Linked DNA regions of Mus musculus. The protein of the gene in region 1 purifies or fractionates together with the protein of each later gene. This does not show direct contact. Links are inferred from orthologs where the notes say so. Each region holds a gene or a part of one and is shown in the gene's direction. Other genes may lie near its edges.

Region 1 (3,811 bases):
GGATGGTTGTGAGCCACCATGTGGTTGCTGGGATTTGAACTCAGGACCTTCTGAAGAGCAGTCAGTGCTCTTATCTGCTGAGCCATCTCTCCAGCCCCATAACCAGTTTCTTGGTTTTGCTAGAATAAGGCTAGAACTGTTCTACCTGTCATAACAATATGTTATAAAAACATACTTCTACTTAGGATTAACACTGTTTCCTTTCTGGCTGTTGTTTTACCTATGGTAAAATATTACAAATCACAAGCCATGTAATCCTGACATGTTGGTAGGCTGAGGCAGGAGGATCATGAGGTCAAAGTCAGTGTGGACTACATAAGGCAATGTTGTTTGAAAACGCCAGATCATGGACTGGAGAAATGGCTTACAGGTTAAGAGCACTGGCTGCTCTCCTAGAGGACCTAGGTTTGATTCCTAGCAACTGCCTGGTATCTCACAACCATGCTTAACTCCAGTCCCAGGGGATCAGAAGTCCTATTGTTATCCTCCAAGAATTGTACGTGGTTGTGCATGGTATGCTGACATACATGAAGGCAAAATACCCATACACATATGGTAAATGAAACGTTAAAAAAAAAAAAAAAAGATTCTCTATGCCGGGCGTGGTGGCGCACGCCTTTAATCCCAGCACTTGGGAGACAGAGGCAGGCGGATTTCTGAGTTCCAGGCCAGCCTGGTCTACAGAGTGAGTTCCAGGACAGCCAGGACTACACAGAGAAACCCTGTCTCGAAAAACCAAAAAAAAAAAAAAAAAAAAAAAAAAGAAACCTACAGCTCCCCTGTTTAAAAAACAACAAAACATGACTTTCAGATGGGTTTTTAAGCCACCTTACTTACTAGCTGAACACACTTAGAATTTCTTCCTTGAAATCTTATTTGAATCTTAAAGTATATTTTAGTTTTAAAATATGATATTGACTTTTGTCATTTTGGAAATATCAGTATCTTTTTTCCCCATTGGTTTATTCACTTTATATCCTGATCACAGGCCCCCTCTTCTCCCAGTCCCTTCCCCCACACGCAGCCGCCCCCCCCCCCTTCATCTCTAAGAAAGTGGAGGTCCCCACTGGGTACCAACCCACACTGGTACCTTAAGTCACTACAGGACCAGGTACATCCTCTCTCATTGAGACCAGACAAGACAGTTCAGTGAGGGGACAGGATCCACAGGCAGGCAAGAGAGTCAGGGTAAGCTCCCACTCCTGTTTTGGGGGACCCACATGAAGACCAAGCTGCACATCTGCATGTGTGAGGAGGCCCAAGGCGAGCCCTTGTCTGCTCTTTGGTTGGTGGTTCAGTTTCTGGGATCACCCACGGGTCTAGGGTAGTTGACTCTGTTGGTCTTCTTATGGATTCCCTTTCCCCTCTAGGTCCCTCAATTCTTCCCCCAACTCTTCCACAAGACTTCCCAAGCTCTGTCTAATGTTTGGCTGTGAGACTCTGCATTTGTTTTGGTCACTGCTGAGTGGAGCCTCTCAGAGGACAGTTATGCTAGGTTCCTGTCTGCAAGCATAACAGGATACCATTAATAATGTCAGGGATTGGTGCTTGCCCATGGGATGGGTCTCAAGTTGGGTTATTGTTTGGCCATTCCCTCAGTCTTTTTTCCATGTTTATCCATGCACTTCTTATAGGTAGGACGCATTTTGTGTCAGGTTTTGTGGGTGGGTTGGTGTCCTTATCCCTCCACTGGGGTTCCTGCCTGACTACAGGAGTTGGTCACTTCAGGCCCCCACTGCTAAGAATCTCAGCTAGAGTCACCCACATAGACTCTCTGGAGCTCCTTTATCCCAGGTCTCTAGTGGGTCCTAGAGATGCTCCCCGCACCCCCAATTTCTGTTCACTTGGCTGGTTCTCCCTACACCGGATCGCCCCTTTGTTTCCCTCCTCATCTTCAAAATATCAGTATCTCAACATTTTCTTTTTACATGTGTGTTTGATAACGGTGTTTTTATCCTTTTTTTTTTTTTAAAAGATTTATTTATGTATATGAGTACACTGTAGCTGACTTCAGACACACCATAAGAGGGCATCCGATCTCTTTACAGATGGCTGTGAGTCACCATGTGGTTGCTGGGAATTGAACTCAGGACCTCTAGAAGAGCACTCAGTGCTCCTAACAACTGAGCCACCTCTCCAGCCTGTGTTTTCATCTTTTTAAGTGTTCATTTTGATATGCTTGAACTGTACTTGAGTTTTACTTGAGCTAGGTAGACTATTAATACATGTTAACATGCAGCTCATATGCCGATATGGAAAACGGAGTCTGTTGTGCAGCTTTCTAGAGTGCCGTGGCCCACGTTCAGCATTGGCACCTAAAGGCTTCAGGAAAGGAGCTGTGAATCGAGCCACTGTACTGACTGCTGCTTGTCCATCTGTTCCAGAACTCTAATGTGCCTGATTCTCCTATCCCTGCTGAATGCGAAGCAGCTGGCCGTGGCTTCTTCCCTCCACCCTTTCCTCCAGTCAGAGACCCATTGTTTCCAGTGGATCCAAGGAGCCAGTTCATGAGAAGGGGCCCCTCTTTCCCCCCACCTCCTCCAGGAAGCATCTATGCAGCTCCTCGAGATTATTTTCCACCAAGGGACTTCCCTGGCCCACCACTTCCTCCGTTCCCAGGTAGGCTTTTTTAATAGTCCCTGCAGATGACAGTTTATCTGTGCTTTACTTGTAGTTTGGTCCCTGCTGCTGTGATACACTATCCAGAACCACCTCGCGGGAAGGAACGGGTTTATATAGCTCACAGCTTACAGTCCAGCATCAAAGGGAGCCAGGGCTCCATCCACCTTAGCTAAGTTTTCATTTTAACTGTATTGTGATAGTTCAGAAAACCACTCAATTTACAAGCAGTTTTAAGATTAAAATTATGTGTAATTCATTTGATAGAAATGTATTGTGGCCTGGTGTGGTGGTGCACGCCTTTAGTCCCAGCACTTGGGAGGCAGAGACAGGCAAGATTTCTGAGTTCGAGGCCAGCCTGGTCTACAAAGTGAGTTCCAGGACAGCCAGGGCTATACAGAGAAACCCTGTCTCAAAAAACAAAAACAAAACAACAACAAAAAAAATGTATTGTGGTGATTAGTTAAATTATTACTTATATTTTAGTTTTAAGATTACTGACTAAAATGTTGTACACTTTTTCATAAATAGTTCCTGTGACCATATTTATTTAAAATCTATGTTCATTTCTAGTTATTTGTTGAACTTACTGAAATTCCTTAATACCCTTTCATTTTAAAATCAAAGTAATTTATTGCTTTTACAGCATACTTTCCCATTTGGAACCCAGGTTTCTTCACAGTAAATCCTAAGTCCTAGACAAGAACCAGCCTAGTTGTCCTGTGAGGTCACTCTCATCACTAGTTTTCAAGTTCAAGGTGAATCAAGATGAACTTTGTTTGGGAAGTTTTAAGGTGGTCCTTGGTATTATAGGAAATATTTTTAGTAGAATATCAAGAGCTTAAAGTCTTGAGTGTATCAAAATCTTGTGTAGCTGCTAAGATAGGACAAACGTACCTGAAATTAGTAATATTCTTATTAATCCTGTGTTTTTGATGAAGTACCTTTTTCAGTGACAAAATTAATTCTTGAGATCAAGTACTGTGGCGTGAGTGTTTGAATGTCATAATAGCTCCTGGAGCTGCTAGGTTAACAAGTGTGCAGTACTCAGTTTAAACTTCCAATGTCTTTTGCTAATCTCTTTGAACAGGGAGAACTGTGTACGCACCGAGGGGCTTTCCACCTTACCTTCCCCCCAGAGCTGGGTTCTTCCCCCCACCCCCACATCCTGAAAGTAGAAGTGAGCTCCCCC
Region 2 (4,516 bases), on another chromosome or scaffold:
TTGGAGGAATTTGGGTGGGAAGAGTATGTGGTAGATAATATCTACAACAGGAAATGACCATCAAACCAAAACAACTGCATTAGAGCCTGGCTGCCAGGTGCTTAGCGACCTTCCTTTCACTTGCTCAACAGTGTTTTACAAACAGGAACTGACATAAAATAAGAGAAGCGGCCAGTGTGAACTGGAGTTTGCCTAGTCATTTTTCATTCACACAGTGAGAAGTTCTGCTTCTTAGGACATCTCTGAAACCAAATATGGAGTGTTTTCAGACACATCTCCAATTCTAAGACACCAACTAGGTATCTGTCCAACAATGGAACGAAATTTCTAACACCACCCACCCACAGGTGTTCACACTGGATAGATCCCATAAATCAAAGGGACTGATCCTAAAGGATCGTTTCCAGTGTCTCCAGCTTTGAGTCCTGACCATCTATCTGTACTTCTAAATAACAGGCTGGGAAGCAGAAGTCCCTGTGACTTCCTCTGTCAGTCTGGTAAGTTGTCAGAACAGCACACAGAGCTCACTTCCATCTTCCTTAGGATTTCTCTTCTAGCATAAAGAATAGAACTCAGAATTAGCAGAAGGGAAGAGATGTGTAGGGCAAGGTACATGGAGGATAAAGGGTGAAGAATGCAGTACTTCCTTGCCCTCTCTGGGCACACCATCCATCCATCCAGCACCTACATGAGACCACCAACCCAGGAGCTCATTGATCCCTATTGTCTAGGGTTGTTTTAAAAACAAATATTTCATCATATGGGCACATACTGGCCACTGGTGACTGAATTCAGTGTCAAGTTCCTCTCTCCTCCCTGAAGGCTAGTAAATGGGCCTAAAATTGGCTTCTTCTAATCACGTGGTTTGTTCAGCTGCATATGGGTCCAAAAGACACCATGGTAGTATAAATTCATGTATGGTTGACTGGGGCTCATTATGAATCGCAAAAGACATCAAATACTAAAATATAAACCATATTCAAATAATGGTCCTTACATCTCTATAATGTGAACATGTTCCAAAAACACTTAAATAGTAGGGTAACCAAATAGCCCGGTTTATCTGGGATTTTGTGGGTTTTTGTGCCTAGTCTCAAGTCTTGCCAGTCCCATGAGTTCGATGTTCCAGAAGTGGATGTCAAGCCATAAGAAAGAGTCCAATCAACCGCGGAGGATGCTCTCAAAGTGGGGACTGATTTCTTCATATTAGGATATTAGGAAGCAGTGAATCTGTTTTGGAGTGTCTGTCCTCCACACAACCCGGGAGAACCCATTTCCTCCCTGGAGTAACACACAAAGGCCCGGCTTGTACGAGTCTGCTGTGTATCTCTCCTGAAGTGGGGACTGTCCCAGTCCGAGAACTTTTTAATTCGATTTACTGATCTTCAGTAATCTCTTCTAGCCCCACCTCCCACGCCCCACACAAAGATGGCAGCTTCATCGTCATTCGGGGCTAGGACCCGGATCCGACGCCAGGGTTCCGTGACAGCGCGTCCCGCTAGTGCTGACGCGGATTGGCGTCTTGCGCTTGCGCAGAGAGAGCCCAGGAGCTCGGCGCGTGCGCACTGAACGCCTGCAAGACCCAGTCGGCCGCGCGGGCGCAGATCGGCTGCTTGCGGTGGTTTGAGTGGTGGCAAGTCCAGTGCTGAGAGGGGTCGGCAGTCTTCCGGAAAACTCTAGCGCCAAGTTCCTGAGCTTTCGGAGGCGAGGCGCGGCATGTCGTGGGTTCCGCGGGGTTGGCGGTGAACGTGCGGGCGGGATGGGTCGGCGCCGGGGTGTGGAGCTGTACCGGGCCCCGTTCCCGTTGTACGCGCTTCGGATAGACCCCAAGACTGGGCTGCTCATCGCTGCGGGCGGAGGAGGAGCTGCCAAGACCGGCATAAAGAATGGCGTGGTGAGAACGCAGGGCCACTGAGAACAGGTTATACCGTGGCCCAGGGAGATTCCAGGGTGGCCGGGGGATGCAGAGGTGAGCAGTACCCCTGATTTAGTCCCTACCCATTTCTAGCGGGAGCACCCAGGATTGCCGTTCGGGTGCTGGTTTCACCTGAGCAGAGTGGTTGAGACAGCCAAAATTAGACTGAAAGCTGTGCAGGTCTGCGAATCCAGGACTGTCCACGCCGGATTACGAGAGCTGGTCCAGGGCTCATACGCTGGCCTTTTCCAGGAAGGCACATTGTCTTGTCCATCTTCAAGCAGCTGGAGACGGAATTCTTTTCTTTCTGTAAACTGGACCTAGTAATCTAAACCCTGCTTGCTGTATGAATTAAGAAGCTCCAGTAAGAGAATACAGCTCTAAGCAACAGCAACAACAACCAAAGAAACAAAAAAACAAAAAAAAACAAAAAATAAGAGCTGGAGGTGCGGGAAGCAAAAGTACAACTGAGAGAGACTAGGATTTAATGTGACTTCCGGGCTGGCCTGACCTTTGCCCACTTTGGTTCCCTCACAGCATTTTCTGCAGCTAGAGCTGATCAACGGGTGCCTGAGCGCTTCCTTGCTGCACTCTCATGACACGGAGACACGGGCCACCATGAATTTGGCGCTTGCTGGTGACATTCTTGCTGCCGGACAGGATGCCCAGTGTCAGCTTCTTCGTTTCCAGGTCCATCAACAGAAGGGCAGTAAAGCGGAGAAGTCAGGTGAAGAGCTTTGGAAAAAGTCGCTCTAATTCTTGGTCTCCAAAAACGAGAGATTAGGTGTGGGGCAGTGGTCACATTGAAGTCTGTACTTGGGTCACTAGAGGACTGGTGTTAGTTAATACAGATGCTCAGGTCCATCTGAGGGAGGTGGTGCACAGCTGTAGTCTCAGAGCTTAGGAGTGGAGGCAAGAGGATATTTAAGGCTAGCCTGGGGTGCCTAGCAAATCCCTGTCTTAAAAAACAACAACAAAGGAATCTGGTTCCTGGCAAATTGTTTGTGTTGCAGGTTCCAAGGAGCAGGGACCTCGACAGAGAAAGGGGGCTCCTCCAGCAGAGAAGAAATCGGGAGCACAAGTTCACCCCGAAGGGGTTGAACTCAAAGTAAAGAATTTGGAGGCAGTACAGACAGACTTCAGCAATGAACCGCTGCAGAAAGTTGTGTGCTTCAACCATGATAACACCCTGCTTGCCACTGGAGGAACTGATGGTCATGTTCGTGTCTGGAAGGTGTGGTTTTAGGGGCTTGGGGGGGTGGGTGAGTGTTAGTTGCAATAACACCAAAATTGTGAGAATCTGAATATGCATTCTGTGAAACTTGAGTGGCCATTGGGGTAAGAGGGATGGGGATTTCAGCGTTCTCGCTGTCTGGTCTGTAACTGTCTTGGCTGTAGGTACCTAGCCTGGAGAAAGTTCTGGAGTTCAAAGCCCATGAAGGGGAGATTGGAGATTTGACTTTGGGTCCTGATGGCAAGGTAAGGAGGTGGAGATGTGGGATGCTGGTGCAGAAAGGCAGAGCCTATTGTGTGCCTTGCACAGTACATAGATGTCCTAACTGTCCATCTTTGGGATCTTTACTCCTCCCCAGCTGGTTACAGTGGGCTGGGACTTTAAGGCCTCTGTGTGGCAGAAGGATCAACTGGTGACACAGCTACAGTGGCAAGAGAATGGACCAGCCTCTTCTAATACACCATACCGCTACCAGGCCTGCAGGTGTGCAGGTCACAGGGTGGCTGGCAGGCACACCTCAGCTGGGAAATGGGAAAAGACAGAAGGAGCTGGCCATGGCTGGAGCCTTGTTGGAGGTTGTTCCAGGTGTGACCAGGGTGCAGGGCACAAACATGAGGGCTGACAGGAACTGAAAGCCTTTTGCCTGGCCTCCAGGTTTGGGCAGGTTCCAGATCAGCTCGGTGGGCTGCGACTCTTCACAGTGCAGATACCCCACAAGCGCCTACGTCAGCCCCCACCCTGCTACCTCACAGCCTGGGACAGTTCCACCTTCTTGCCTCTTCGGACCAGATCCTGTGGCCATGAGGTCATTTCCTGCCTCAGTGTCAGGTGTGAAGTCCTACTGCTTGATTGGATGGTGGGCGCTTGAGGGAGCTGGGGAATGAGTCCTGACTCAGTCTCTGGAGGACCACTGTTGTGGGGAGGGAGTTTGCACAAGCTTCAGAGCAATGAGCCCTCTGTTGTGTGTTACAGTGAACCCTCTGTTGTTGTATGTATGTTACAGTGAATCCTCTGTTGTATGTTACAGTGAATCCTCTGTTGTATGTATGTTACATTGAATCCTCTGTTGTGTGTTACAGTGAATCCTCTGTTGTGTTACAGAGAATCCTCTGTTGTCTGTTAGTGAATCCTCTGTTGTGTGTTACAGTGAATCTTCTGTTGTGTGTTACAGTGAATCCTCTGTTGTATGTGTGTTACAGTGAATCCTCTGTTGTATGTATGTTACAGTGAATCTTCTGTTGTATGTTACAGTGAATCTTCTGTTGTATGTTACAGTGAAACCTCTGTTGTATGTATGTTACAGTGAATCCTCTGTTTTATGTATGTTACAGTGAACCCTCTGTTGTATGTTACAGTGAATCCTCTGT

Evidence for each region.
Region 2: the proteins of Mia2 (region 1) and Preb purify together in Homo sapiens (affinity purification with western blotting; 3 studies listed by BioGRID and IntAct, with this or other methods). This does not show direct contact. The link is inferred for Mus musculus from reciprocal best matches to the Homo sapiens genes MIA2 and PREB.

Annotation. Positions count from the first base shown.
Region 1 is NC_000078.6:59,185,927-59,189,737, forward strand, and holds part of Mia2 (melanoma inhibitory activity protein 2 isoform 6 precursor), read left to right. Parts: intron 1-2,384; coding exon 2,385-2,619; intron 2,620-3,709; coding exon 3,710-3,811. UniProt on the Homo sapiens protein: Plays a role in the transport of cargos that are too large to fit into COPII-coated vesicles and require specific mechanisms to be incorporated into membrane-bound carriers and exported from the endoplasmic reticulum.
Region 2 is NC_000071.6:30,957,349-30,961,864, reverse strand, and holds the start of Preb (prolactin regulatory element-binding protein), read left to right. Parts: upstream 1-1,537; 5' UTR 1,538-1,759; coding exon 1,760-1,894; intron 1,895-2,452; coding exon 2,453-2,642; intron 2,643-2,928; coding exon 2,929-3,149; intron 3,150-3,313; coding exon 3,314-3,394; intron 3,395-3,507; coding exon 3,508-3,632; intron 3,633-3,803; coding exon 3,804-3,977; intron 3,978-4,516.